Linked DNA regions of Ovis aries. Each later gene encodes a partner of the first gene's protein in a complex. Links are inferred from orthologs where the notes say so. Each region holds a gene or a part of one and is shown in the gene's direction. Other genes may lie near its edges. The genes, in order: MED16, MED31, MED19, MED8, MED23, MED1 and MED26.

Region 1 (3,853 bases):
AACCTTCTTCCCCATAGGGCTCCCCGCTGCGACCAGGCCACAGCTTCCTGCGGGATGGCACATCGCTGGGCATGCTGCGAGAGCTGATGGTTGTCATCCGTATCTGGGGCCTGCTGAAGCCTAGCTGCCTGCCTGTGTACACGGCTACCTCAGACACTCAGGACAGCATGTCCCTGCTCTTTCGCCTGCTCACCAAGCTCTGGATCTGCTGTAAGACACCTGCTCCTCTTCTCTCATTTCCCCACCAAAATTCCTGCCCTGGCTGAGTCCTCCACCATAATGTAATCTCCCGTAGGTCAAATTTGCTCTGTTGTGGCCCCCCTACTATTTCCCCAGCACCTAGCACAGATCCAGGAACAGCGTGGGTGCTCAGTAAACATCAGCCACTCTTAGGCTTCTACTTGTCCTGTGTAATGTGTTTCTGGGACCAGGCTCTGTCATTGTTGCCTCCCTGATGCCAAGAAGGGCACCCAGTACTCGCTGCACATTTTTTAAATGAATAAATGGGTCCCCATTTTACAGAGGAGAGGACCGGGCCCGAGAAGGGGAGGGAGCTTCCCAGGCTCTTCAAGAAGTCAAGGCAGGGCTGGAGCCTGCACCTGGCACTCTGTGAGCCTGGAGGAAGCCATGATGCCTCCTGGTGGGCAGTGCTGTGGGCATGGCCGCTAAGCATGATGTCCTGCGTCCCCTGCTCCCCCCATAGGTCGTGATGAGGGTCCCACAAGTGAGCCAGACGAGGCGCTGGTGGATGAGTGCTGCCTACTGCCCAGTCAGCTGCTCATCCCCAGCCTGGACTGGCTGCCTGTGAGTGATGGACTGGTCAGCCGCCTGCAGCCCAAGCAGCCCCTGCGCCTGCACTTTGGCAAGGCCCCTGCTCTTCCTGGTGGCTCCAGCAGCCTGCAGCTGGATGGCCTCATCAGGTATGCACACCCACCTCTGACTCAGGGCCCTGTATACCCTTTCTTCCAGAAGGGTCTCCCCTGCCTGACATCCCCTGTCACATGTCTGTCTCAGGGCCTCTGCCCATGCTGTGCCTGCTGCTTCCTTCTAGCCTGACCTGAGTGCTACCCCCGATATTCCTCCCCTCCCTTGCCCCTGAGATTCCTCCTTGCCCCCAGACTCCTCCCCTCCTCACCCACCTCCCCTGCCCTGTCACTTCCCTCCATCCAGGCACTATATTGTACTATAGTGTACAGGTCATTGTCTTGTACAGATTTGTGTCCTTGCTTGTCTGGGTGATGTCATCTCCCCCCTGGCCTGTCATGGCCCATGTGGAGGGCCCATGTGGCCAACCTTGGTTACTCCGGCTCCAGCCAGCCCCTCTGGAGCTCAGGTTCACACACCCCCCCCCCGACCCCCACTATATATCGCACTGCAGCCCAGAGTGCTTGGCAGGTCCCAAGGCCCCAGAAAGCAGAACACTCTTAGGCAGACCTGGCTGGGAGTGACCTCGGGGGCCATTCTTTGGGTGTGCGGAGTCCAGAAAGCCCAGGCCTGCTGAGGGAGCAGCACCCTGGGTGGGGGTTTGTCCCCACTTTACAGGCAGGTAAACTCAATCTCCAAGGTGCAGTCCAGAGATAGACACCAGGCCAGAAGGCGAACCTAGGACCCCACAGGCCGCCTCCCATTCAAGGTGTCGTGGGATGGATTCTCACATGGTCCTCTACTGGGGAGGGGCCTTAGCATCCCCACAGCCCCCCTCACCGCCGGGAAGACTCTGGGCCTTCCTCCTCCACTTCCGGATTTTCTTTTTCATCTCTAAAGCCGTGGGAGGAACGTCCTGATGAATCACACACTGTGGTTTGTGTTCGAGTTTCAGGAAACACTTTACACAGAGAGGTGGCTGGTGGCCAAAGGGCTTTCACACTCTCGGAAGTTTTCAAACTTGGGTGATACGAGTGCCCAGCCTCAGGAATCCTGATGGGTTCGCCCCACTCTGCTCTAGGTGCCACCCTCAGCAGGGGCCTGTGCGCGGAGGGTGTGTAGGAGTCCGGCTCCCGGATTCTCCCTGCTCTCACACATGCTTTGCCTCTAGGAGACTGACCCATACAGCTGTGTGTGCGCATGCGCTTGTGTCTGCATGTGCATGTGTGCGCCAGTGCACATGTGCATATGTGCATGTGCACACCCCCGAGCCTTCCCCTGCTCCTCTCCATCAGGGTGCCAGGCCAGCCCAAGATGGACCACCTGCGGAGGCTGCACCTGGGCGCCTACCCCACAGAGGCTTGCAAGGCGTGTACCAGGTGAGCAGCTGCAGGAGATGCTGTTCCACTCCACCACTGGCAGCTTCCCAGCCTATGAGCCAGGGTCCCAGGATTGTGTCTGCCTGGGGCTCCTGAGTGGGTATCCCTGGCGATCTTGATAAAAGGTGGGGCCGAGGTGAGGGGTAGCGGCGAGCGGCTGGCCCAAGCCTGCCCTCTTGGAGCTCCCAGTGGCCTGACAAGGGCAGAGATGGAGGCGTGGCCGCTCCGCGCTGCTCATGCACATGTGGCCCCGCTTGCTGCCAGATGACCCCAGGGCCACCCCACTAGGCTTGGCCAAGCCTGTGTCTACTCAGGGAAGTGAGGGGTGGTATTGAGTGGAGACAGAAGGATATGGAGGAATTAGCTCACTGTGTGGGGTGTAGGGGTGCAGGGAACACCATTCCTGAGGTGCAGTAGCATGTGCCAGGCCCTGTGGCTACAGCCAGCCGGCCTAGCATCCCATCCACCTGCTTGCTCTATCTGCAGGTGCGGCTGCGTCACCATGCTCAAGTCTCCCAACAAGACCACCGCCGTCAAGCAGTGGGAGCAGCGCTGGATCAAGAACTGCCTGTGTGGGGGGCTCTGGTGGCGCATGCCCCTCAGCTACCCCTGACTACATCTCAGCCTGTAAGTGCATTCTTTTTTTCTTTTCTTTTCTCTTTTTTTCACTTGTTATGGTCTTTAATTATTAGTTGGATAATTTTTTTTAAGTTATTATAGTAAGGATTACAGTGTTGTTTCTGGCATATGGCACAGTGATTGAGTCATATGTATACACACATGGTCTTCTTCATACCTTGTCCATTGTGGCTTATGACAGCGTATTGGATATGGTTCCCTGTGCTGTACAGTAGGACCTTGTTGTTCATCTTGCTCATATGTAGCAGTGTGTGTCTGCTCATCCCACACTCCCAATTTATCCCTCCCCTCTTTCCCCTTTGGTACCATAAATTGGCATTCTTTGTTTGAGTTGGTTTCTGTTTTGTAAATAAGTTCATTTGTCATATTTTAGATTTGACAGGTAAGTGATATCAAGTGATTTTTGTCTTTTTTCTTTTTCGTCTGACTGACTTCACTTAGTATGATAATCTCTGGGTCCATCCACTGCTGCAGAAAGTGGCACTCTTCTCTTTCATGGCTGAGCAATATTGCTTGTGTGTCTATGTGCCACATGTCTGTCCATTCATCTGGTGATAGAGCTGTAGGTTGTTTCCATGTCTTGACAGTCGTGAATGGTGCTACAGTGAACACTGAGGTGCATGTGTCTTTTTGAATTATAATTTTGCCTGGATATTTGCTCATTTTCTGAGGAACCTCCATAGTGTTCTCCACAGTGGCTGCACCAACTTACATTCCCACCAACAATGTAGGAAGGTTTCCTTTTCTCCATGCCCTCACCAGAATTCGCAGACTTTTTAACTATGGCCATTCTGACTGGTGTGAGGTGAATCCTTATTGTGGTTTTCGTTTGCATTTATTTAATAATTAGCAATGTGAAGCATGCTTTCGTGTATCTGTTGGCCACCCACATGTCTTCTTTGGAGAAATGTCTATTTGGATCTGCCAGTTTTTTTGATTGGGTTGGTTTTTTGATATTGAGCTATATGAGT
Region 2 (4,347 bases), on another chromosome or scaffold:
CACTTTTCCCTTTGAACTACATGTGACCTCTATTAAAACCTGTGTGTATGGCTACCAGGCACAAAGACTTGGCATAAAGAGAAATATATTGAAACATAAACACAAGCCAAGTAATTAATTAAGGAAAGTCTGTTGCTTGCAACTCAGGTTTGCAGCTGGCATATAATTCCACTGATTATGATTTGTTTGCTCCTTGTCCCTAAGTTTGAAGCAGCCAAGGTCATTCAGTGAGTGAGTGATAGTCGCTGAGTTGTGTCGAGGTCTCTGTGACCCCATGGATTGTAGCCTGCCAGGCTCCTCTGTCCATGGAATTCTCCAGGCAAGAATACTGGAGTGGGTAGCCATTTCCTTCTCCAGGTTTGAAGCAGCCAAGGTTATTTAAAGGGCCCCCAATTCAAAACTCACCTGCCTTGGAGGCTCAAACAGTCTCTTTTCCATCAGCTTAACACATACAGTATCTAGAGCCTAAAAACTTTTTATGCTGGCTTCAAATTAAAATAGTTCACTGGGTCAAAGGCTTGCCTTTGGTCCAAGGTGCAGGAGGGTCAATGAATGTTGGCTAAATCCCGAAACCGCAGCTTGGCTCTTTCTTAAATTGATCTGTGGACTGTTTCCAGGAAACCAAAGATGATCGGTCCACCTGGCAGCAGGCAGGCTGCGAACTGGAGGCGATTCTGCCCTGGCCAAGGGCCATGGCCCCCTCGTGGCCCCGAGGAAGGCAGCATTTCATCGGGCCTTTTGGATGTTATGGCGGGCGGCTGGCTTCTCCCGCCGCGGCGTGCTCTCCACGCGGTGCACAGACGTCTCCACCCGCAGGGACGAGGCCCTGACGTGGCGGGAAGCCGTCTCTGTGAGCTGCGAGGCGGTTTCCACGTGCTGGGAGGACACCTCGAGGACTCGAGGGAGCCGCTTCCCAGAGGAGGAGACGGAGGGTCCCTCGCTGCTGCGCTGGGTGGTCTCCACCTGCCGGGAAGATGTCCTCACGTGACGGTAGGATGTCTCCACGCGGTGGGACGAGGTCTCCACGCTGACCGTCGCCGTCTCCTCGGAGCGGATGGATTCCGCCCGGGCCGGAGAGGGCTTTCCCCGAAGGGGTGAGGCCATCTTATGGGGGTAACAGGGCCAAGCTGACCTTTGGAGGCCCCACAGCCCCACAATCCCCGAAGGATTATTTTATACGGTGAGGAGCGACGTCACATGCCATTGTGATGCAGGCAGAGCGGTGGTCGAGGGTCCCGCGAACCACGTGGAGGCACCGTGATCTTGGGGCGGGGAGGCCTAAGATTCCTTGGGAACGCTGGGTTCGTCCCCTCGAGAGCGCCGTCTGCCCCCGCATCGCCCCTTAGCCTGTCAAGAACCTGTCCGGGTGGAGGCGGGGTTGGGGCGGGGCGGGCCCTGGATGGGCGGAGCCACCCGCCCCCTTGCGAAGCTGTGCCCACCCCCGCATCCCACACTGCCCCGCGGCAGGAAGGGGACGCTGCGACTTCCGGACCTTCCCTGTTTCTCCGATCCTGGCTGTGTGGGGTTGCTGGGGACTTAAGAGTGTCTGCTGGTGATGGCCGCGGCCGTCGCTATGGAGACAGGTGAGTAGCGCTCTGAGCCTCGCGTTTTGTCAAATAGAAACTGTCCCGGGTCCAGACACCTGCTTCCCGGGATTTTTTGAGAATCCAGGCCCAACTCCCGGCAGAGTGAGTGATCGGAGCGGGAGGCACCAGGGTTTTTTTTTAGCGACTGGAAGGGCGAAGGTAATTTGGCCTTTTCAGAGTTTGTTTTGTTGGCCGATCCTTTCTCCCCGTTAGTTATTCAAACAGTGGCCCCACCGGCTTCCAGAAGACTAAAGGAGAGATTTTGGATCATAAACCGCTTCCTCGAGTTGTTTTTTTGCATCTCAGATGAGCTTGCCTAAGTTTAAAATATCGTCAGCGAACTCTTGTATTACTGTGCCACTAACGGGTCTCACGTAAGCACGCGTTTCTTGATACTCACCAGGGTCTCTTTCATCTTGCATTCTGAACGTCTCTTGATGGATTTAGCATTTTGTTTTTGCTAAGCTTGATCACTTAACAGCTTGTAACGCACTATCAAAATAAGGCAAGGCACATTGCTGCAGCTTATCCTAGTGATCACTGTGAAGTCCCAACATGGTGGCTCACGAGTGATTAATGTTCTGCTCCATGTATAATCTTGTTTTCTTTGATAATTTAACTTTAGATAAACCTTTTTTTTTTTTTTTTTTTCTTAATCAGGGCTTTGCTTTCCTTAGACTTATAAGGAAGGTGTTTCTCCTCCTACACCCAGTTTAGGAAAACCTTTGCATGCTCTTCTTTATGTAACTCAGCATTAGTCAGATGTCTGTACTGCTGTTTTCTGTCTAAAAATCAGTATTATATACAGTGACATTTATTTTGGATGATTTTGCTATCTTCTCTCCTAGATGATGCTGGAAATCGACTGCGGTTTCAGTTGGAGTTGGAATTTGTACAGTGTTTAGCCAACCCAAATTACCTTAACTGTAAGTTGTTGAGCACCTCATTGAAGTGAATAGCTAGTTACGATTTCTGATAGAAGAGTCAAAATTCATAGTACTGTCAGCCCTTTGTATCCTTGGAGGCAACCTCAGTTGGTGGAATCTGCCCATCCTGAGGGTGACAATACTGTCATGGCACTATGTTGTTTTGTACAGGAGATTGGAGCACCTGTGGATTCTCGTGTCTGCGGGGCCTCTTAGAACCAACTCCCTGTGGATTCTGAGAGATGACTTTAGTATCTAGTTTTGTACATTCTTAACTGAATGGAATGACTGTTGCACTTATACTGGTATATATAATTGAGCAAACTGGGACTTCTGTTTTGAATTCAGTGTGTGTTGGTGGTGGGAATGTTATGTAAGTAAATTCTTTACGATTATGTTAGTCACAGATCAGTAGTCCAAGGACTGGTGTGCTCTACAGATGTATTTTTTTTTTTTTTTTTATGCCTTTCAGTTCTTGCCCAAAGAGGTTACTTCAAAGATAAAGCTTTTGTTAATTATCTTAAGTACTTGCTTTACTGGAAAGAACCAGAATATGCCAAGTATCTAAAGTAAGTTTAATTTTTATAGTCCTAAACATGTGTGTACTTTTATTATATTCCAAAGCACTGATATTTAATAGACTTCTTACTTTCACGTTGGAAAAAATACCTGTTGAATCTCTGCTCTCCTTTCAGTTGCCTCCATTTTAATACGAGACACATCATCTCTAACTTAACTGGGATTACTGCAGTATCTACTCATTGGTATTCCTCCTTTCTCCCTGCCCTGCCAAACAAAGAAGAAACATTTTCTGCACAGAAGCCAACTTGGTCTCTTAAAAATAGAAATTACATTCCATTAGAACCCTTTGGTCGCTTCCCATTGCATGCAGAAGAAAATCTCGTCTCTTAGCCCTGTGTGATCTGTCCCTGTCTTCTCTGACCTTATCTTGTACCACTCCCTGCATCTCACTGAGTTTCTGACCTCAAGGAACCCGCAGTCCATATATGCAATGACAGCCATAGCCTGAAAATGAAAAAACATAGAAAGAGGTACTTACTTGTAAGCAAGGGTTTCTGGAGAAGGTAACCGTACCCGAGTCTTAATAGCTGCTTTCTTATTTTATATATCTTACATAATAAATACATGAATTTATCATTCAGGTTGTGCAATAGATACTCTCGTTTTAAGGCTTACTGAAATGCAAGGAGCATATTGTAATCACAAACATTTCTTTTTAATGATAAAAAATAAGCCTTGAACACCCACCTCTGCTTTGTCTTAAATAGGTAGTCAAAAAGCAGTGGTGAAATGTCTAGCCTTTTTTTTCCCCTAAACAGACACAAGTTTGAGAGGAGAATGTTTAAGACTTGTACTTTGGCCAAGCCACTTTTCTCTGTCTAATAACAGCTGCTTTATGAAGTCCACATCCTCCTTTTGCCTGTGGGACCCTTTCCACCCTTACTGGCCCTTTATAAAAGAACCACTTATTCATTTAATAATCCAGAGAAAATATATATATTTTTTTACTAGATTGCAACATGTTATATGTATGTATTATAGACTTAGAGACTCAGTGTTGGACACTGAGCCCTGGACACCGTCAGGTTCAATTTTACCCACAACATTGCTGAGATGGTCATCTGTATACTGGCTGGAGGTTTCTAGTGAACACATACTAATTCAGGGGCAGCCAATTCCGTTGTTAGCTAGATTCCAGAAAGTTCCTCCTTGTATTATTGTGTCCGACTCTTTGCAACCCCATAGATTGTAGCCTACCGGGCTCCTCTGTCCATGGGATTTTCCAGGCAATAGTACTGGAGTCGATTGCCATT
Region 3 (4,544 bases), on another chromosome or scaffold:
GCTAATTAATAACACTGGGAAAGGATAGAGTTTGAAAAAGTGTGGAGTGAAGAATAAAAAGTAAGGAAGCAGGTTCTGTTAAAGATTAAGACTCATTTGGGGCTTTGGGAAAAAAAGACAAAAACTCAGGTGACTGTCTTTCCTCAGAACATGTATGTGGCTATTCAGTAGAGGGCGAGAGCTTCAACTTATTTTACATTTTTTTTTCCCCTTAAAGCATGCAGAATCTTAGTTCCCTGACCAGGGATGGAACCCAGGCCCCCTGCAAAGGCAGTGCAGTCTTAACCCCTGGACCACCAGGGAAGCCCCTCAAGTTATTTTTCTGAGTGGTCCCTCCATTCCAGTTCAGGGAGAACTCCAAGAGGCTTGAGACAGATTTCTTTACAGCGTTTTTTTCTTTTTTTTTTTTTTTACAATTCCATTTCCATAGGCCTAACAATTTTATTTATTTTTACATCCCCAGTATGCGGCACACAGCCCAGCACACAGTCCGCCCTGAGAGACTGTTAACTTGATTTTAAGAAATGGCTGTGTGCTGTTACCGTGGCTAAAGAGTGGCTGCAAATCCTCGTCGCTCACTAGTTGTGTGACCTTGGACGAGTCTCCTAACTACGCCAAGATCCGTTTCTTCATCAATAAAACGAGAATACTACAAATACTACTCGCCTTGTACAACTCACTGGTTCTTTATTAACGAGCAACACTGGAAGAGAGTGCGAGGGCCCAGTCTGGGGAAGACTCTGGTCGAGCATGGATTGGGAGGTGGGAAGGAGCTTGGCCTCAAAAGGCAGAAGGCTGAGACTGCTGGGCGAGCTAACCGGCTGCTTTCTCACCCTAAACAAGAGGAGGGTTAGGCTCGGTAACAATCCACGCCCTACACTCTTAGCAGTCTGTCAAGTCCGCTAAGAGGCCCGGAACCTGAGGCGTTCTCAAAACGGTCCCTCGGGGCTCCCGGCTGCGACCACCAGGGCGGGGACAGTCAAGGTCGTGGGGTCCCGAGGAGGGTCGCTCACCCAGTCAAAGTCACACGGGTTGCCGTCTTCGCGTTGCGTGGGGAGACTTTCGCAGACAGGGGGCAGCTTCCTGACGAGTAGGAAGGCAGCAGAGAGCAGGGCTGACAAAAAGTAGTAAGGTCGAGCCAGCCATCGTGAAAGTCGCGGGACTGAATACACGAGAGCAATCAAAGGCGCTAGGACCGCCATCTTCTCGGCCCCCTGAGGCACCGGCCGCTCTCTTCGGCTTCCGTAGGTCTGGTCCCGCCTCTCTCACCATTGAAGGTTTCCATTGGGCCAAGTGTCAGATGGCCCGCCTCTAGACCCGGAGCTAGATCTCTGATTGGCCCTCTACGGCAGGTAAGGGAGGTGAGAGAGGGATTTGATATGCTATTGGCTAACCTAGCTGTCGCTTTTACTACCTAAGTCATTTCATTGGTTAAGCGATTGCTGCGAGCGGAGGCCTCGGAAAATTTAATAATGTTAAGGAGTATTTCCTGAACGTTCTCAGAAGGCGACGGAAGTCGTTGCCGGAAGAAGGTAGGCAGGGCCAGAGGCAGTCCAATGGTAAACGACTCCTGGAGGAAAAGGGCGGTACCCCGTGAAAAGATTAACCAATGAGAATCATTAACGCCAGACACCGGGACGGCGCCGGGGCAGAGGGGACGATGGAGAATTTCACGGCGCTGTTCGGGGCCCAGGCTGACCCGCCACCTCCCCCAGCGGCACTCGGCTTCGGACCCGGAAAGCCGCCCCCCCCGCCGCCACCGCCTCCGGGCGGGGGGCCCGGCCCGGCCCCGCCCCCGACCGCCGCTTCGGCCCCTCCCGGGAGCGACAAGTCGGCGGCAGGCTGCGGCCCCTTCTACCTAATGAGGGAGCTGCCAGGTGAGTCCGAGGCCCGGCCGAAGCCGGCCAATCAGATCGCCGCGAGGTGGGGCTGGGCGTGGCTCCTAGATGCCGAGGGAGGTGAGGGGAAGCCCGGGCGGCGCGTGCGGGGATTTCGGAGCTCCGTGTCGGAAACGACTGCGAATTCAAGGCCAAAGGCACGACAGGAATCCTCAGGATGGACTGGGAATGAGAAGAATGGGTCTCTGTGGCCGCCTTTCACGCTCCGCCCTGTCTCTGAAGCTGATGGTGGTTTTATGATTCCCTAAAAGTTACTCCCTGGAGGTTCAGACGGTGAAGAATCCGCCTGCAATGCGGCAGACCTGGGTTTGAGCCCTCAGGTGGGAAGAACCCTGGAGAAGGGAAAGGCTACCCACTGCAGTATCCCTGCTTGGAAAATTCCGTGGACGGAAGAGCCTGGAGGGCTACAGTCGATGGGGTCGCAGAGTCGGACACGACTGAGTGGCTAACTGAAAAAGCACCCAGGGTTCAAGTTTGGAATTTGAGAGTCCTTATTTAACATCCTTGCGGACCTAGTTCCAAATCTGCTTCCGACTTCCTGTTGGTTTGTTGCCTTTCTTTTTTCTCTGGGCCTGGGCCTTTCCTCATCTGTTGGAACAAGTGAATAGAATTGGACCAGACTCTTTCATTCAAAAACTTATTTCGTTGAGCACCTATTTTATGTACCAGGGGTTATTGTACACTGAAGATACAACTGTGAATAAGGCTGACAAGATCCTTGCCTGTTTGGGAATTTACGTGCCCATGGAGGAGGCAAAAGGTAACAGGGTGAAATCACAAAGCAGTTACGGCTGTAGGAAAAAAAAATGTGATAAGATTTAAGGGAGCTGAACTGCTTTAGCTAGAGTGATCAGAGAAGCTCTTTCTGAGTAGGTTACTTTAGAGTTAAAATGTAAGCGCAGAGAAAGAGCTAGCCATTTATGAGTGGGAGAAGGAATAACTGGATACAAAAAAAATGAAATCAACAGCCCCAATGTGAGAAAAATCTTGTAATGTTTGAGGAACAGAAGATCAGCTGGACTCCAGTGAAGTGAACAGAGGAGTGATAGATAAAGTGAGAGTGTAGGCAGAGGCCTGTGTTAGACATTTAGATTTTAACATATTATTGACCAGAAACATGTCAATACCTTTTTTAGAGAGTGAAACCATTAACATCACCGTGGGAAGTTGTTAAAGCTTAAAATTGATCAAGGATTCATCATACAGCTTATCATTGACATTATCATTCACATTTTGCTCTGTTAGGTTTTTATTCCAACCTTGTGTACCTTATAAACACAAGTTTATTTTCATAAAATTTTAAAAAGTGACACACCATGCAGTTTTGAATGAAGAAAATTTTTTCAGTGAATTTTATGCAGATACTTTCTCTTATTGTCCGAGCAGCACCTAGTGCTGCAGCCCACGGGGTCGCTAAGAGTCGGACACTACCGCGTGACTTCACTTTCACTTTCATGCATCGGAGAAGGAAATGGCAACCCACTCCAGTGTTCTTGCCTGGAGAATCCCAGGGACGGGGGAGCCTGGTGGGCTGCCGTGTATGGGGTCGCACAGAGTCGGACACGACTGAAGCGACTTAGCAGCAGCAGCAGCAGATGATAGTTGTTCCGAATGTAGTTCTGATTCAGATGATGTGACTATTAGACCAACAAAGAGACAGAAAACCTTAGTGATTGTTTTCTGATACGGAAAGTGAAAATGAAACTCATGGTGCTGGAGAAGACTTTACAGGTGTGTCAGCTGTAACTATTGAATGTAATAATGCAAAGTGGTAGTGAAATAGCTGAATTAATTATTGCGTTAGTTTCTACAAAAATCCCCCTTTCAATAATGTTACTGCTTAGTGGTCCAGGAAAGAGGTGGTTTAGACTAGGCGATAGCAATGGAGGAAAGAAGTAAATGGATGCAGGATAAATGTTAGAGGTAGAACTGACAGGAATGAAGGATTGAATATAGAAGTGGAGGAGAGAGGAATTGAGGGTGATTTCGAATTTTTGGCTTGAATAACAGGATTGATGGTAGTGCTGAGGTCAGGCAAGAACAAGTTTGAGGAGGTGGAAACCGGGAGTCATTTTAGACATACATGTTAGTCTCAGGGACATCTTTCAGTTCATCCCACGTCCATAGCTTTGACTGTATGGACCTTTATCGGCAAAATGATGTCTCTACTTTTTTAAAATGCTGTCTAGGTTTATCATAGCTTTCCATTCAAGAAGTAAGCATCTTTTAATCCCATGGCTGCAGTCACTGTCTGCAGTGATTTTGGAGCCCAAGAAAATAGAGTCTGTCACTGCCACCACTTTTTCGCCTTTTATTTGCCATGAAGTGATGGGACCTGATGCCATGATCTTAGTTTTCTGAATGTTGAGTTTTAAGCCAACTTTTCCACTCTCTTTCACCCTCATCAAGAGGCTCCAAAGTTCCTCTTCACTTTCTGCTATTAGAGTGGTGTCATCTATCTGAGGTTGTTGCTCTTTATCCCAGCAATCTTGATTCCAGCTAGTGATGTTTCAGTAGGATGTTTATACCTTCAACGACAAATGCAAGTTGAAGGAATTTGAGCTTTTTCCTGAGGGAATGGGAAACCATTAAGATTTTTGAACTGACTCCAGCTTCTAAAGATATCTAGAGAGCATGGGTGCCATG
Region 4 (3,041 bases), on another chromosome or scaffold:
GAGTTGAAGGATGGAATGAGGGGAATAGTGTCTTAGGAAGCCAGATATTATTAGTCTCAGGTTATGTTTTCCCTGAAAGTGCACTGTTTGCCTGTGGAAGGAACTATGTGTATATCAGGCCAAAATTGAATCTTCTTGGAGTGCACAGTAGGATCATAAAATCTGTGTGTTACAGAGGCAGACTGAAGGACGGGTACCTGTTTTCAGCCACGAGGTGGTCCCTGACCATCTGAGAACCAAGCCTGACCCTGAGGTTGAAGAGCAAGAGAAGCAGCTCACCACGGATGCTGCTCGCATTGGTGCTGACGCAGCGCAGGTTGGACCGAGTCCCTGCCCTGCTGCCCTACACCCTCGAGTTTTACCATAAGAGGCTGAGTATTCCCACTTCTCTATTGTAGGGTATGGCAGTTGGTTATGCCTCCATTGCCCCTGGAATAGCTCAAGGAAGAACCTTTCCTGTAATCATTTCTTGCTTGCCCTAAATTCTGCACAAACTTACATGTGTTACAGAAACAGATCCAGAGCTTGAACAAAATGTGCTCAAACCTCCTGGAGAAAATCAGCAAAGAGGAACGAGAATCAGAGAGTGGAGGTATGGAGGGATTGGTGGCAAAGTGATGGGGGAATGAGGGATAAGATCACTGGAATAGGAAGGGTGGTATTGGTAGTGGTGAAATGAGGATGCAGGGATGTGCTGTTTAGCCAAGGGTATGCATCTATTCTGTTGGCCTTCTATATTTCAGGCCAGCACTGGGGCAGGTGGAGAAAGGAGCAAAGGGAGAAGGGCGAATTCTGAGATAGTCATGGGGGTCCTCTGGCTCTTCCTCTGGGTTGCCAGGAAGTCTGGATGCTACCGAAGTCAGAACTCCAAGCCCTGGCACTCATACTGGTCTTCCTGGTGCTAGAAGAAGTCCAGGGCTAGAGGCATACCTCAGGGTCTCCACTTACTTTGCCCTTCAGGTCTCCGGCCGAACAAGCAGACCTTTAACCCGGCAGATACCAACGCCTTAGTGGCAGCTGTTGCCTTTGGAAAGGGGCTGTCTAACTGGAGGCCTTCAGGCAGCAGTGGTCCTAGCCAGCCAGGCCAGCCGGGAGCTGGAACAGTCCTCGCAGGAGCCTCAGGGTTACAGCAGGTGCAGATAGCAGGAGCGCCAAATCAGCAGCAGCCAATGCTCAGTGGGGTGCAGATGGCCCAAGCAGGCCAGCCAGGTAAGGTGACAAGGATTGGCTTGGTGACAGACCTTGAGCAGGGATGTGAGAATAAACTGGGTTATCTGCCACACTTCCCCCTCACCCCATCCCCAGGGCTGGAGACATTCTCCTTTTCTCCTTGGACTGTGACCCAGAAAAAAACTCTTGAGAGTGAAAGTCTCATTTGAGACTCTGTTAATAGACACCAGACAATGAGAAAGAACTTCGACTAAAATTGCCCTTAGCTACCCTTCTGTGCCCTTTAACTCTGGGTGGGTGTGTTGTCAGTGTCTCACCCTAGGTATTAGGATCACTGGGTAGATGTGTTGGGAGTTGACAAGCAGGCAGGTTTTCCAGTGCTACGCGTATTCCTTGCTCTGTATCCTGTCTCTTCTGCTCACTTAGTAATTATCAGAACAGTCTGGAGGAGTTCGGATATAAGCAGCTAGAAGAAATATTTTCTTCCAAGCTGTCTAGGCAAAGGGACAGCTCTCTTTTTCCATTAGGGGAGGAGCAAGAGCCTGCAGGGATGTGCTCCAGCCCTTCCCGCTATTCCTCCTCCTGACCATCTTCAGGTAGAGGGCTGGGCAGGGAGCTGTACCTCTGAGCCTTGTCACCCAAGGTCAGATGCCACAGATTCTGAGCTGATGGAGGAGATGACAGAAGGGAACCTGGGAGGCAACACTTCTGATTTATGACGAACATCTGACTGTGCTTCAGGTGTCTTTCTTCGTGTTCTTTTTAGGGAAAATGCCAAGTGGGATAAAAACCAACATCAAGTCGGCTTCCATGCATCCCTACCAGCGGTGAGTGTGAGTGGCAACCTCCACTCCCAGGTGTTCTTTTCAGAGTTGGGCAGTGAAACTGCCTTTTGCCCAAAGCTGACCTGGATGGGTACAATGAAAAGAACACAGGCTTTCGGCCACAGACAGATCCCATCTCCACTGCCAACTAGCTGTGTGACCTTGGGCAAGTGACCTACTTTTTCTGAGCCTGTTTTCTGGTTTATAAATGATGATAATACCTACCTCATAGGGTTGTTGTGAGGATTAAAATGGGAAAATGATGTAAAACACTTAGCACAATCTATGAAATAATGAGTATTCAATAAATGAGAGTTTCTACAGCCACTTCTCCCCACTGCCCCCTCCTCGGTCCTCGATCCAGAACTTGCCCTGATCTGAAACTGCTTCGTGTCTGTGGTGAGCTGATGGACACAAGATCGTGGACCGCTCAGCTTTGTTTGAAAGCCTGTGTTTATTTTGTGCTGCCAGAGATGGTGACAGCTTCTGTGTCCTTAGAGGCCCGCTGCCTCCACAGGCCTTGCTTCCCACATTCCAGCCTGGCCATCTCTCCAGGCTGCAGGTGACGAGGCCTCCGGGCTGAGACAGACCATCCACTTACAACTCTGGAGAAGCTTGGGACTGCTCTACTCTCCATCCTCTCAGAAGCCAGTTCAGCTCTCATCTGGGAAATAGTCAGAGTCCCCTATCCTTTACCCCACCCTGGGCATGTCAGGGAAGATGCTGAAGTCCCAGTAGGTGGGGACTTCCTCAGGAAGTGGCTCTGCCAGGCAGGACTACGTGAGAAAGGGTTTTGTGAGCAAGTGAAAATGTCCCTTGTTCTCCAGACCTTTTTTTTTTTTCTTTCATATTTTGGAGGGAAAGGGGACTTGCACCTCACACCGTCTCTCATTGTGGTTGAGTCATCCTCAAAGTATGCCTGGTTCCTGGGCTCAGTTAGCATGGCTTTTCTCCAGTCCACTGAGCCAGTGGTTCCAATAAGGGTCAAGTGGATGGTGGGAGGTGGCAGCCGCCAGCACTTTTGCCTGCTTCTATAAAGCTGGAGAG
Region 5 (3,853 bases), on another chromosome or scaffold:
ATTCAACATACACTTTTCTAGTTTCTAGGAATATAGAAGTGTGCAGAAGTCACTCTCATCGTAGAGATCACCTGCTAATGAGGAAAATGACAAAAAGTATATGTAACTGAAACATAAAATAAATAAATCTTAGAGAAAAATAGAGCAAAAAAGAGGGATAAGACCCTCATAGAGGGTCAAGGGAATGGGATACATTTTTTAAAAGTTGTGGTTAAAAAGTGAGGGTCGGGGGTGGGGCATGCAGTTGTACTAGGTGCTTGGGATGTAGTAAACAGGACAGGACAGACCTGTCTGTAATCATAAAAACCCATGACCCCATTTGGCTGGCTTACTGGTTTGCCCCCGGACAGCAGTAAGTTCCAGGTCTGACTGGCAATATGGAAGGCATGTTCCTGCATTGCATTACAATTCAGTGCAATTCAATGTAATAACAATTCAATTGCATTACAATTCAATTCCTGCATTATAATGTCTGTTAGTTATTATGCAGTTCTAAATAATAAACACTTTCTAATATGAAAGTGTTTTTCTGATTTGCAGTAATTCTAATTTTTTACCAATGCGGTATCATTTTAACCATGGTTGCTCTTCTTTCCAGATAATTGAAAGTCAAATTAAGCTTTCTTAGCAAAAAGGAATGGGTTATGATATAATTTGTATATTAAAAAATGATCCTCATGCTTTGAAAGGTTGGGAACATTAACTTTATTAAAATAATTTAAACGATAACTAAATAAAAATAAATGAAGACATGAGGAAGGCTAGAGCAATTTTTTCCCATTTCCTGGCTCTTTACTTTCACAGATGAACTTGACTATCATTTTTCAAATTCCAAAGAAAAATGCAAACTTGGTGTTACAATAAGAATCTGAATTTTCTTCCTTACAAAGTGAAAATGAAAGTCGCTCAGTTGTGTCCAACTCTTTGTGACCCCATGGACTATACAGTCCATGGAATTCTCCAGGCCAGAAGTGGGTAGCCATCCCCTTCTCCAGGGGATCTTCCCTTCTCCAGGGGATCAAAGCCAGGTCTCCTGCATTGCAGGCGGATTCTTTACCAGCTAAGCCACCAAGGAAGTCCTCTTCCTTATAATTAAAGTACAAATTATGGAGAAAATTGGGGATATATATGTGTGTATCTGTGTGTTTGCATGTGTGTGTGTTCATGATCAAAATCTTTGCATAGATTTTACTCGATGTGACTTTTCTTTAATTATTTTTTAATTCATAGCTTTTACTGATTGGTGTCTTAAATTTTCTTCTTCTTCAAGGTCAGCTTCTGCCAACTGTTTTTAAATCTCACGCCTGGGGTATCTTGCACACTCTTCTTGAGATGTTCAGCTACCGGATGCACCACATTCAGCCCCATTACAGAGTTCAGCTCCTAAGTCATCTTCATACTTTGGCTGCAGTTGCACAAACAAACCAGAACCAGCTCCATCTCTGGTGAGCTCACTGGAGACTGTCTTTCCTTGGATTTGTTAGAAAATTTGTTTGAGATGGCCAACTTAATCCATTACCTTATAACATTCACTGTCATAAAATTCCTCTGCTTCTGGAGTGTTTTATTTCCAGTATAGAAAAAGTAGAGTTCAACTTCTTAAATAGAAACCTACTAAGATAGTTGAATCATTGCTTGGGGAATTTGGACTGAGAACAAGTACTTCCACGACTTTGACATTGTGTTTTAACTTAGTGCTTATTTAGATTATGGTTAAAGTATCATGTTATTTTGATTTTGCTCTAATTGAAAATATATTCCAAATTTTTTGAGATGTCATTTTTGAAACGCTGTGTATCCTGGTGAGATTTTTTTTTTTAGTCCTTAAAGCTACACGCTGTCTTTTTCAAATGGGTAAAAATGCCGGATGATTTTTACTATTAAATTTGACACCTCAGATTTTTAAAAACAAGTTAAGCAAAGCTTGTTTTCACACAAAAGAGTTTGCTTTTACTCGAAGAAGAGAAATTTATAGTTTGCATGTTTCCCCATTGTGATTAACCTAGAATCACATTTAATTCTAGAGTTCTGAGTTTATATGCAGCTTAACTTCTTCATGATTGTGTTTGTTCTCCCACTTTGCAGTGTTGAGAGCACTGCACTCAGGCTTATAACAGCACTGGGTAGCTCAGAAGTACAGCCGCAGTTTACACGCTTCCTCAGTGATCCCAAGACAGTGCTCTCAGCGGAATCCGAAGAACTGAACCGTGCCTTGATACTGACCTTAGCTAGAGCAACTCACGTAACAGGTACAGTGACCATGCAGCCACCAGCCCCAGAAACAGATGTGTCAGAGGGTGCTGTGTCTCCTGACTGCTGGCCTGGGGGTGGGGGTAACACATGAGAAGATTCTCCTCACTTGTATCCAGAAAAACCAGTTGTTGTTTGGTTATCGTTACCATTTCAGTCATTAAAGCAAGTTCTTCTGTACTACCATTTTAACTTGGTTAAACATCAGTTTTTAGTCGTCTGACATCATTTTAAAGTCATGGTTCCTGAGCTTTTTGAAAGTCTCAGGGACCACATTATACTCAAAAATAATAATAATAATGATTAAAATTCCAAACATTTTCTGTTTATATGGATCATATCTATGATATTTGCTTTTTTAGGTATTACAGTAGGACTTTTTAAGATCTGACTCATTTTAAAATAACAATAAAAAGCCTATTACATGTAAACATAAATAGTGTAATTTTTGGTGTAAAGGAATATAGCTGAATTTAATGTCTGGTATAAAGGAACATAGCTGAATTCTCTTACATTCCACCTATTATAGATGTTATTTTAGAAGAAGTAAGTGAAAAAAAAGAAAACACTATGGTTTCACATAGATATGAGGTTGGGAAGGGAAAGAGTATTTCAAATAGCTTTTTTAGCTAATTATGAATCTGCTTTAATGTTACACAAAATTGAATAATTGGTCATTTCTTAAATTTTCATTGCAATATAGAATCCAAAGTCCTATCAGGAACTCTGTACTCTGTCACATTATAATCCAATTATCTATTTTGTACATTTACTGGATTTTGTGTTCATGCATATTTTAACTTTATGGGTTGGTTTTTTGGAAAACATTGATTTACTGGATTATGTAGGTAGATTTATAAATGTTGACACATTTCATTATACAGTATCAGAAAATTATATTTTTTTAACCTTGCTACAAATTTCATTAGGAAAAGTCTTTAAGTTTTAGAAAGCTATTAGGCTTGTGATAGTGGATACAAGTTATCCAAAATTCAGATTTTCGCTTGAAAGGTCAAATTTTATCATTGGTGAAAGATACAATTATTTGTTCTTCTTAAAGTTAGAGGCTCCCTTTATTAATTTTCAAGAAAAATATCTGCCTAATGCCCAAATCTGAAAAACTATATGTTCTTTCAAGTAAAATTGGGATTCCATGACAAAAGAGCTAATTTGACTCAATATTCAATCACAAGGTATTTTTCCTCAAGATAACCTTCATACTTTAATATGTAGCTGGAACACCTTATGCATGCTTCCATTTTATCACACAAGATGTTACAAACAGATGTACTTAAGGGCTGAGACATAATCTTTTTTACAATTTTATCAGAGGTAGTCTTAAGTGAAACTGGCAGTTTTTTTCCTGCTAAGAGTATGCTGTGGTGAAGATTACAGTGGCTGTGAGTATAATTTGGTACCACTGTTTGATTTGTTCCAGCGGCCAGCAGTGTTACCCAACCATTGCTTTTGCACCATCAGTGCACATTTCAACATGGGAAAAAGGCCAATGGTATCTTAGTATTATTATTATTATTATTTTATTAGTGTTGACCTCATCAAATTCTTGAAAGATATTGGGGACCCACAAAGTCTGCAGACCACA
Region 6 (4,383 bases), on another chromosome or scaffold:
TCTGTCTGTTCATCTGAACTGTAGTTACCAGCAGGAATTGTTTTGGAGGATGTTTGCATATCATTTTTGAAATATGGGGGAAAAGTCTGAGACTAAAGAGCCACTGGAAATCCATTGCTAAATATCCTTACAGCAAATTAGGTAAAATTTCAGCAGTTATTCTCAAGGATGTATTTCAAAAAAAAATTATAATAATAATAAAGAAAAAAAAAAAAGAGTAACCTTAACTATTTTAAGAACTTCCACCCAGAGCTAGTAGAATTGTATTTTAGTCTGGTTCTTGTTCCAATGGGCAGGAACTTCTAAATTCTCAGCATTAATCCAGATTTCTCTTCGTGAAAATTTACTGATACAAGAGACAGGACCACACATTCTTTGTGATTTGTAGTGTAGAGTGTGAGCTAACCTGCTTGCTTTTACTGACTACAAAAAAAATACAATCCATTGTGAACACCTTTGGGATCCTAAATATAATCGATGACTACTGAATATTCATTGGAAGGGCTGATGCTGAAGCTGAAGCTCCAATATTTTGGCCACCTGACTGACGCGAAGACTCCACTCATTGAAAAAGACCCTGATGCTAGGAAGGGTTGAGGGCAGGAGGAGAAGGGGAGGATAGAGGATGAGATGGTTGGATAGCATCACCGACTGGATGGACATGAGTTTGAGCAAGTTCTGGGAGTTGGTGATGGACAGGCAGTTCATGGGGTCTTTAAGAGTCGGACACGACTGAGCGACTCACCTGAACTCATGACTGTTGCAAACAAGTTTTTCTTAACTCAAAATCTTCCACGTCCTCAGAAATATTGAAAATGCTCAAGAAAAATATTTCTGAAATTAAAAAGGAAATTCGGTAATGGAAATTAAGTGTACTGGGCTACTTTGGGACGTCGTGTTACAAAGACCCAACGTCTAGTATCTCAATAAAGGGAAAGTTTTAATAAAATATTCCTAACAGCAATATTCTTCGAAAAGCTAGCATTTCAGTAAAGACAGCTGGGGCTTTTACTTTGCAAACTGCTTGAAAGCCAAATCGAAAGTGCCAACTTCCACAGAGGTGTTGAACACTAGCACTACACAAGCTCCACGCCTAGCTCTGAGAAGTCGGAGACAAACCAGAGAGCAGGCAGGGTGGGGATAATCTCGCGAGAAGCAACGTATAAATCATTTTTCGCGATATTTGGTGCCCAGCCCCTTTCCCCCTTCTCTCTCTCGCAGGATCACGGTTAATCTCGCGATCTTTTGGAAGTTCCGTTGGGGAAGATGGCGGCGGCCGCGAGCACCCTTCTCTTCTTGCCGCCGGGGACTTCAGACTGAGTCTTCCCTGGAAGAGTGGGACTGCAGGTTCCCTGCGTCCCGGGAGCCCGAACCAACTTGGTTCCTCCATTACTGGTGGGGAAGGGCATATCCTCTTGTGTAGGACTTAGGCCCTCCCCGCCGTCAGGATGAAGGCTCAGGGGGAGACCGAGGGTGAGTGACTGAGGGGGAGATCAGGGGGCGGGACACAGCTGGGGGAGCCAATGCCTCCGCGGGGGCCACTCTCCCGAGGGCTCAGGATCTAGGAGGCGGGATATGTCTGAGTTTTAGATTCTGACTGCCTTCCTTGGTGATGGAGAGCTTCGACTTTGGGGAGATGGGGGCTCCCAACTTGAGTGTGAAGGTTTCCTATTTGGCAAGGGGCAACATTTGGGCCTCAGGGCATTTTTTAGCCTAAAGAGATGGGAGACCGGGCAAGTGAACGTAAAACTTTCTTCTTCAAAAGAGAAATCTGAATGATGACATAAAACAATAATAGGACGCTATATATCAAAGTACTGTAAGATGTTTTGTCGTGAATGAAATGATTAGGTCCTTATGGTATTAAAAGCCAGTAGTTTTAAAAAATGTCACAGCGTTCATATCTTGTAGTATTGTATATTTTTAAAATGCTTTTAATTTCAGTCTTTAAATATCTGAACTAAAAACTGTTGAAAAACACTTTTCTGTGTAACTTTATATTCTCTAAAGTTCCACATTTCAGCTTAGATGCTCCGTTAGCATTTTGGACATAGTTCTGTTGATACAGGATTATTTTTTTGTCTTCTCCAATGTGCTCTGAGCTTTGTAGAGCAGGATCTTGCCTTACTCATCATTGTATAGTCCTGGGCCCATAATGTTGTGTTGTTGTGTTAGTCACTCAGTCGTTTCCGACTCTGTGACCCCACGGACTGCAGCCCACCAGGCTCCTTCACCTATGGAATTCTCCAGGCAAGAACACTGAAGTGAGTTGCCGTTTCCTTCTCCGGGCACATAATAGTTGCTCAAAAAAACGTTTCACTGAAGCATTTTTGTAAAGATTTATCGTCGGCCGCCTTAAGGGAGAGAAGGGAGGTGTGTTTGAAGGAGAAAGAAAAAAGGGTGCAGACGAATGACTAGTGTAAGTGGAATCTTAGTGAGGCAGGAATTTTGTCTAGTTTGCTCACTGCTGTATCTCTGAGATGTAAAATAGTGCCTGAGTGAATGTCTGAAATATGGGAATTGCCAAACATTTCTCCAGAATTATAAACTGAATGAAACAGCCCCAAGAACAGTTTTCCAGAAGATGAAGGCCTTGGAGGGAGGAGTTGAATCTCGATCTGAAGATGTCACTACTTCATCTTTGATTGCTGACATTCTATTCATCTTTCAAGACATCTTTTCTGTAACATCCCTAAACTAATTACACACTTTTCCTCCTTTGAATTTTGATAGTAATGTGTTTCTATTTTTAAGAGCATATCTCATTTTGCTTTGTATGATGGTTATTTTCACATTAACTTATCCACACCCCCTCACAGATGTCATCTCAGGCATATTGTATTTTTGCACTGCTGGTCTCCAGCACAGTCCTTGCTCATGTTAAGCAGTTAAAAGAATTACAGGAGTGTTGGAGGTTATAGGAGGTTCCTTCAAACACTATCTGGGATCCATTCTTTTCTACCTTTCTCTTACCTTTGCCTGAAACTCATCCTTTAGTCACTTGACATTTCCTTTGTTCATATAGTTTGAATTCGAACAGGAAATAGCTGAATGGCAAATGAAGCTTGTTTTCTTGATAATACTTACAAATTGATCTCTTAAAATTATGTGAAAAAATTAAGAAAGTCTTTATTTTCACATTGAAAACCAACTAACTATAGTAAGGCCATGTTCAAATGTATGCTCTGCATATGTCATGCAAAGGATTTCATGCCTATCATGAAATTATTTTGTCATTAAATAGTAGTCTTGATCCTCAGGACTGGAGGTGGTTCTTTTTTTGCTTCTCATTAAGTCTGAAGAGAAAGCAGTCCCCTTCTATAGTGTTGTTAGATTAGGCCCATAATTTCTGTCTACTTGTTATTAGAAATGAATTCTTTGTGTATTTTGAAGTAAATGATATTGGATAAGATTTTAACTTGAGTTCGTACCAGGATGAAGTATGGGAGTTTTGTTTGCAAGAAAAACTGTGGAAGGTCTTGAAAGAAGAGTTGCTAATAATTTTTTCTGATTTATATCTTAGAGTCGGAAAAGCTGAGTAAGATGAGTTCTCTCTTGGAACGGCTCCATGCAAAATTTAACCAAAATAGACCTTGGAGTGAAACCATTAAGCTTGTGCGTCAAGTCATGGTGAGGACTATGGTGAACTGGATAAAGTGTTGTGCTTAGAAAATTATTTGATAAGCTAAGTTACCTATGTAGACTTTTTCTAGCTAGTCATTATGGTGTGTCTTCAGTTTTATTTCTCATAACATGATGGCTTTCAACTTTTAAGTCTACCTAAGAAGAAGATATGTTAATAGAATTGTGTTAATCATGAGTTATAGTAAGCTGGGATATTTTAGGCAAAAGTTGTAAGAAACACTTACAGAGCGTAATTAGTTTCCTAGTGACCTAGTGTTTAGGATTCCCAGCTTTCATTACTGTAACCTTGGATTCAATCCCTGGTTGAGGAACTAAGATCCCACAAGTCCCACAGTGCTGCCAAAAAAAAAAAAAAAAAAGATACATGTGATAGCCTGATATAGAGAAACATTTACTTTTTACTTCCTGTCAAGCTCCTTGATTCTAATGTGTTAATACTTTCATTGTATCTATACTGGTAGAAGAGTTTGCAATCATTTTTATTAACTTCACTTGTTTACTCTGTGACTTCCTCTACAGTACTTTCTCCTTCCTGAGGCATTCACCAGTATGGGGAGCCCTTAGTTAAGTGGTATACAGGGAGTGGGGTGAGTGTATAGCACAGCACTAGTAAAAGAATTGAATTTGCTGTCAGAAAAAGCTTTATTTTAATCTTGACTCCACTACTACCTGTGTAACCTTGGACAAATTGCTTGTTTTTTCCTACCCTCAATTTCCTCATCTAGGAGGTAGAGACAC
Region 7 (4,436 bases), about 35 Mb from region 1:
TGGGCTGGTTTCCAACCTGGACACCGTGTACACAAAGCACCTCATTCTAGCAGGGAGAGTGAATAAATTAAAGCGAGGTAATTTGCCCATATTTATTTTATCCTACAAGTGTGATGTAAAACTTTTCACACGTGCAGGAGCAGGCAACCACAACCACGTGGGGCAGCAGCCGTTTTTTGCAAATAAAAACGCTTCCCAGAAGCATGACAAATGGAAGACTAACAGGTGTAGCACAGAGCCGCCGAGGCGCGCATGTGGTTCTCATCAGCTGCCTCTCTCCTGTTTTAAATGTAGGTCTTCCTGTAACAAGAAGAAAAGTTATTTCTCTCGAGGCTGCGGCTAATGATCCACTCACTCACCTGCCTTTCTTACCCGTTTGCATAACCGTATATGTAATAAGAGCTTCCACGGAGAGCCGGCAATGAAAGAAGGCAATGAGGAGGCGAGGGGCCAGGAGAAGCCCTTAGACTTGACATTTAACAGTTCTGGGTTTGATCGGTAACTCTGGGTGACCTAGGGCCTCAGTTTCCTCCTTGGTAAGGGTGTTTCAGTTTTCCAGCACCACCATGCAAAGCAGGGTGGGAAGGTCTTTTAAACCAGTGATTCTCAACAGGGGTCGATTCTACCAGCCAGGTGACCTCTGGCAGTGACTGGGGACATTTTTGGTCCCCTGCAGGAAAAGGGTGTTACTGGCAGAGACCAGGGATGCTGCCGAACATCTTGCAACGCACAGGACAGGCCCTACAACAGAGTGATCCAGCCCCAAATGTTACTGGTGCCCAGGCTGAGAAACGCCGGAGTGGACACAGGTTTGCAACGTTGGTGTCAACTCATGCGGCCTCGGGGCTTTCCTAGCTGCGGTAGCGGCTCCTCCGTGAGACACTTTGCTGTCTCATGTTTTGGGGATCGTAGCCCGAGGCGCTGCAGACCCCCGACTCGCACCGCCCCCTCTGGAGCGTCCCACAGCGCTCCTCAGTTGACCCTTCCGCGCACAGAATTACAACGTGGACGTCTGCCTCCTGGCCTCCCCGAACGCAGAGGAGCTGGGAAGGACCCCGGGGCGCAGGAAACTTGGCAGCTTCTCCCGCCCGCGATTCCCGTCATCTTCGTCAGAATGGGAAAAGCTTTTCTACCCTAGGAGTGAGGTCCTTCATCTGCCCTGTCCGCCCAGAGCGCCAGGGTTCAAGGACTCGGCGCTCACCTAGCGTTTCCGTCGGAAACCTCCTGCCGCCACCCCCTCAACCTCCAGGCTTGGGTGGGGGCGGGGCCTCCAGGCGGCGGCCGTTGCCCCGCCCAACCGCCTCCCAACGGCTCCCTGGGCCAAGCGGTGGGGCGGAACAGAGGTGGGGGCGACTGCGCCTGCGCGCGCATGCGTGGAGTCTAGGGGCGTGGCCTGCAGGTGGCCCCGCCCAGACTCAGCGTCTCTGCCCGCCCTATCTCCCAACCTCCTCAGCGTGGCGCCGACGCTGCGTGCGGCGCGGGTTACCCAGAGTGCTTCGCGCGGGGGTAGCTCACTGGAGTTTGGTTCTCGAGGCGGCGGCAGCAGCGGCGACGGCTCCGGCGGCTCCTCCTCCTCCTCTGGTGGTGGCGGCGCCCCGGGCCTGAGCCCCGGCCCCGGCTCACCTCTCCGTCACCCCGCGCGCCCCCTCTTTCCCCGGCGCCGCGGGGAACATGAGGCTCCGCTCCCGGAGGCCGGCGAGTGAGTGACCCCGGTTCCCCGCCTCAGCCCGCCCGCCCGCTGGCCCGGCCGCTCCCCCCCCGCCTCGCCCAGGCAATGACAGCGGCTCCGCCGTCTCCGCAGCAGATCAGGGACCGGCTGCTGCAGGCCATCGACCCCCAGAGCAACGTAAGTACTCCTCACACGGGTTAAAGTGGAGGCCGCGTGGGCCCAGGACCCTCCCCCTCCCTAGTGCTCCTAGTCCGCCGGGCTCCGAAGGATCCCCCGGACACCCAGCTGCCCCTGAGGGCCGCTGCCATCCCTGTCTCTCTTCCCCCGGGCCCGGGCCGGGGGCTGGTCGGGCAGCCCGGCAGCGCTCGGTACGTGAGGCCGAGGCTTTAATGCGGCCTGGGCGAAGGGAGCAGATGGGAGCTGAGACTAGAGTTTTTCCCCCTCATCCACCCTAATTCTACGACCCTTGCTGTTCCTGACTGTGCTTGCCCACCTCGCCCTTACCATAGTACCCGCGACCCCCGGGAAGCCCTCCCGGCGGGGGGGGAGGGGAGGGGGAAAGGCTGTGAGCAACTGGTGTCCGGGGTAGGACTCGGGGAGCCCGTGCCGCCGGTGTCTCGGCCTTATCGATGAGGAGGGAAGTCTTATTTACCTTGCCTCCCGGCTGGAAGAACCTTTCTGGCTTCGAAGGGAGCCCCCCTGGCCTCCTTTACACCTAGCCGGGTGCCCAAGGCTCGTGGAGAGTCCCTTTCGGTTCTGAGAGTGGACTTGCTTCGCTGGGTCTCTCTTGGGGTCGCTGCCAACGGAAGATGATCTTGTAGAGAGTGGGATTCTTCCTATTACCTTTCTGGGCCTAAGTATTCCTTGCGTATCAGACCAAGGCAGAGCCCCGCTTTTGGGTAGTGAATTAGAGGTGATTATGTGCTCTCCCATTCCACCCAGAGCCCTTCTTCGTGTGCCCCCTACGTGGGGCCCTAGCCTGTTGGTTTGTGACCTAGACAGTCAGGGTTAACCCCAGGGTGTCGATTTCTCAGGTGCTGCTCCACTGAGGCTGCTGTTTGTGGAGGGATCTCCCCTGCCCTTCACCGTGTGTGTTGGGAAGGATTTATCTAATTCTCATATTTTCTCTGAGTGGTTGTCCGTGATAGGGGTTATTTTCCCTTGTGGCCAGAGCAGGTTCAGCAATGGCAAGATGTTGTAGCATCCAGGTATGAAGTGAGCCCCTGCATTTCCTGGGAGACCAGGAAGTGGCCATTGAAACCACTTTAATGTGCTGGGGATGGAAGAAATAAACCATCTTCGGCTTGGCCAGGTAACTTAGGTTTCTGTCACTGTGGGGACTTTTGCTTTTCCTTTACATGAGTTTTGCTGATTACTTTTAGCAGTAGGTTTTAGCCAGCACTGTGGGAATAATTCATGGTTGGATTGTACAAATTTGGTAGAAAGAGAGGAGTTGTGATCTTTATAAGACTGATTTCTGTATCATAAGTAATTCCTGGTCTTCAGGCCCCATGAAGATAGACTTGGTGGTACTTGTCTTTAACAAATGTTGTATACATTTTTGTTATGACTTTGGGGGTGGAGTAGGCACAAGCTATATAAAACCTTGCAGAATTTTTGCAGTAACTGGTGCTGCAGCAATTCCCAAGACTGAAAAAGTAGAGGATAAAACAAGTGAAATGAAAAATGTAGCCTTGATGACTTTCACCTCAGAGTGTAATTTCTCGAATTCCATGTGCTTGTTTGCCTTGCAGAGATTCTGAATGGTTGCTGAGATATTAGCACTGATCCTAATACCACCTAGGAGAGCTTTGGGATCAGGAGGCGCTTTAACAGGCAGTCACCATGTTGTAGATTAGGTGGGGCGGTGACCTCAGGGGTTCCAGTGTTTTGTAAGACTCTAAAGGGTTCCTAGGAGAACAGGAGGAAGAGGGTCCAAGCCCATGGATGTGTTCCGTATCATGGAGTGCACATTTCACGTGGCTTCTCTGGGACGACTCAGAGTCTTACTGATGTAAGTGTAGTGGATAAAATCGGGGTACTGTCTCTGAATATGAGTGATGAGAAAGTGCCTCCTTTAAATGCTGCTGTTGTCAGTGATGTTCCTGGGTGTTGTTACAAGCCATTTGACAGGAGTGTGGCTTGGAGCAAACTCCGCGGAGAAACTCAGAGCTGTGGAGGAATAGGTTGCCGGTAGAGATGGTGTGACCATATTTCTGCAGTTTCTCTTGATTGAACTGGGCCCAGGTGAGAGCTAGGTGGCTTCATCAAGGCATTGCCAGCACACAGCTGCTCTTCTCTGCCTTACCCAAGTAGAAACTCCACTTCTGCATAGTTAGTTGACACATATTTAAGATGCTCCTGGAAAATAAAAATGGGGACAGCGTTGAAGAGCCAACACTAAAATTAAACCTCTTTTGAGACAAGCGACTGAGAATTGTGTCATTAATGCTTACCTTTATGGGCATGCAGTTATGACAACAAACTTAACTTTTGCTTGAAAAGTCAATGTCAGGGAGCTGACTTAATATCCACAAGTATCTAAAAAGTTAGGGAAGTAACAAAGTAACATTTTCTGATCATCTCCCTGACAAAGAGAGTTCTTAAGAGGAAAGTTCTTTGCTCTAAATTCTAGCTTCTGGAGTACTTGAATATCTATAGCATCAGGCTTTGATTTAATAATTTTTGCCAGCTCAGTAATAAATTTTGTACACTTCTTTTCAAAAAGCAACTGAAAGTTTTTTAGAACAGTGGAATCCTTGCTCTT

Evidence for each region.
Region 2: MED16 (region 1) and MED31 share a complex: the UniProt entries of both Homo sapiens proteins name them as parts of the mediator complex. The link is inferred for Ovis aries from reciprocal best matches to the Homo sapiens genes MED16 and MED31.
Region 3: MED16 (region 1) and MED19 share a complex: the UniProt entries of both Homo sapiens proteins name them as parts of the mediator complex. The link is inferred for Ovis aries from reciprocal best matches to the Homo sapiens genes MED16 and MED19.
Region 4: MED16 (region 1) and MED8 share a complex: the UniProt entries of both Homo sapiens proteins name them as parts of the mediator complex. The link is inferred for Ovis aries from reciprocal best matches to the Homo sapiens genes MED16 and MED8.
Region 5: MED16 (region 1) and MED23 share a complex: the UniProt entries of both Homo sapiens proteins name them as parts of the mediator complex. The link is inferred for Ovis aries from reciprocal best matches to the Homo sapiens genes MED16 and MED23.
Region 6: MED16 (region 1) and MED1 share a complex: the UniProt entries of both Homo sapiens proteins name them as parts of the mediator complex. The link is inferred for Ovis aries from reciprocal best matches to the Homo sapiens genes MED16 and MED1.
Region 7: MED16 (region 1) and MED26 share a complex: the UniProt entries of both Homo sapiens proteins name them as parts of the mediator complex. The link is inferred for Ovis aries from reciprocal best matches to the Homo sapiens genes MED16 and MED26.

The regions. Positions count from the first base shown.
Region 1 is NC_056058.1:41,098,581-41,102,433, reverse strand, and holds part of MED16 (mediator of RNA polymerase II transcription subunit 16), read left to right. Parts: intron 1-17; coding exon 18-210; intron 211-703; coding exon 704-920; intron 921-2,159; coding exon 2,160-2,243; intron 2,244-2,729; coding exon 2,730-2,856; 3' UTR 2,857-2,870; intron 2,871-3,853. UniProt on the Homo sapiens protein: Component of the Mediator complex, a coactivator involved in the regulated transcription of nearly all RNA polymerase II-dependent genes.
Region 2 is NC_056064.1:25,114,847-25,119,193, forward strand, and holds the start of MED31 (mediator of RNA polymerase II transcription subunit 31), read left to right. Parts: upstream 1-1,488; 5' UTR 1,489-1,555; coding exon 1,556-1,583; intron 1,584-2,434; coding exon 2,435-2,512; intron 2,513-2,984; coding exon 2,985-3,081; intron 3,082-4,347. Other genes in the region: C11H17orf100 (uncharacterized protein C17orf100 homolog), read right to left, coding at 727-1,104. UniProt on the Homo sapiens protein: Component of the Mediator complex, a coactivator involved in the regulated transcription of nearly all RNA polymerase II-dependent genes.
Region 3 is NC_056068.1:79,750,128-79,754,671, reverse strand, and holds the start of MED19 (mediator of RNA polymerase II transcription subunit 19), read left to right. Parts: upstream 1-1,627; 5' UTR 1,628-1,660; coding exon 1,661-1,877; intron 1,878-1,935; exon of another isoform or gene 1,936-2,558; coding exon of another isoform or gene 2,559-2,658; intron 2,659-4,544. Other genes in the region: TMX2 (thioredoxin-related transmembrane protein 2), read right to left, coding at 1,014-1,202. UniProt on the Homo sapiens protein: Component of the Mediator complex, a coactivator involved in the regulated transcription of nearly all RNA polymerase II-dependent genes.
Region 4 is NC_056054.1:18,064,047-18,067,087, reverse strand, and holds the end of MED8 (mediator of RNA polymerase II transcription subunit 8), read left to right. Parts: intron 1-175; coding exon 176-316; intron 317-510; coding exon 511-592; intron 593-960; coding exon 961-1,209; intron 1,210-1,936; coding exon 1,937-2,001; 3' UTR 2,002-2,321; downstream 2,322-3,041. UniProt on the Homo sapiens protein: Component of the Mediator complex, a coactivator involved in the regulated transcription of nearly all RNA polymerase II-dependent genes.
Region 5 is NC_056061.1:57,023,637-57,027,489, reverse strand, and holds part of MED23 (mediator of RNA polymerase II transcription subunit 23), read left to right. Parts: intron 1-1,270; coding exon 1,271-1,445; intron 1,446-2,085; coding exon 2,086-2,249; intron 2,250-3,853. UniProt on the Homo sapiens protein: Required for transcriptional activation subsequent to the assembly of the pre-initiation complex. Component of the Mediator complex, a coactivator involved in the regulated transcription of nearly all RNA polymerase II-dependent genes.
Region 6 is NC_056064.1:39,606,710-39,611,092, reverse strand, and holds the start of MED1 (mediator of RNA polymerase II transcription subunit 1), read left to right. Parts: upstream 1-1,239; 5' UTR 1,240-1,448; coding exon 1,449-1,473; intron 1,474-3,523; coding exon 3,524-3,630; intron 3,631-4,383. UniProt on the Homo sapiens protein: Component of the Mediator complex, a coactivator involved in the regulated transcription of nearly all RNA polymerase II-dependent genes.
Region 7 is NC_056058.1:6,188,936-6,193,371, forward strand, and holds the start of MED26 (mediator of RNA polymerase II transcription subunit 26), read left to right. Parts: upstream 1-1,513; 5' UTR 1,514-1,774; coding exon 1,775-1,846; exon of another isoform or gene 1,847-4,436. UniProt on the Homo sapiens protein: Component of the Mediator complex, a coactivator involved in the regulated transcription of nearly all RNA polymerase II-dependent genes.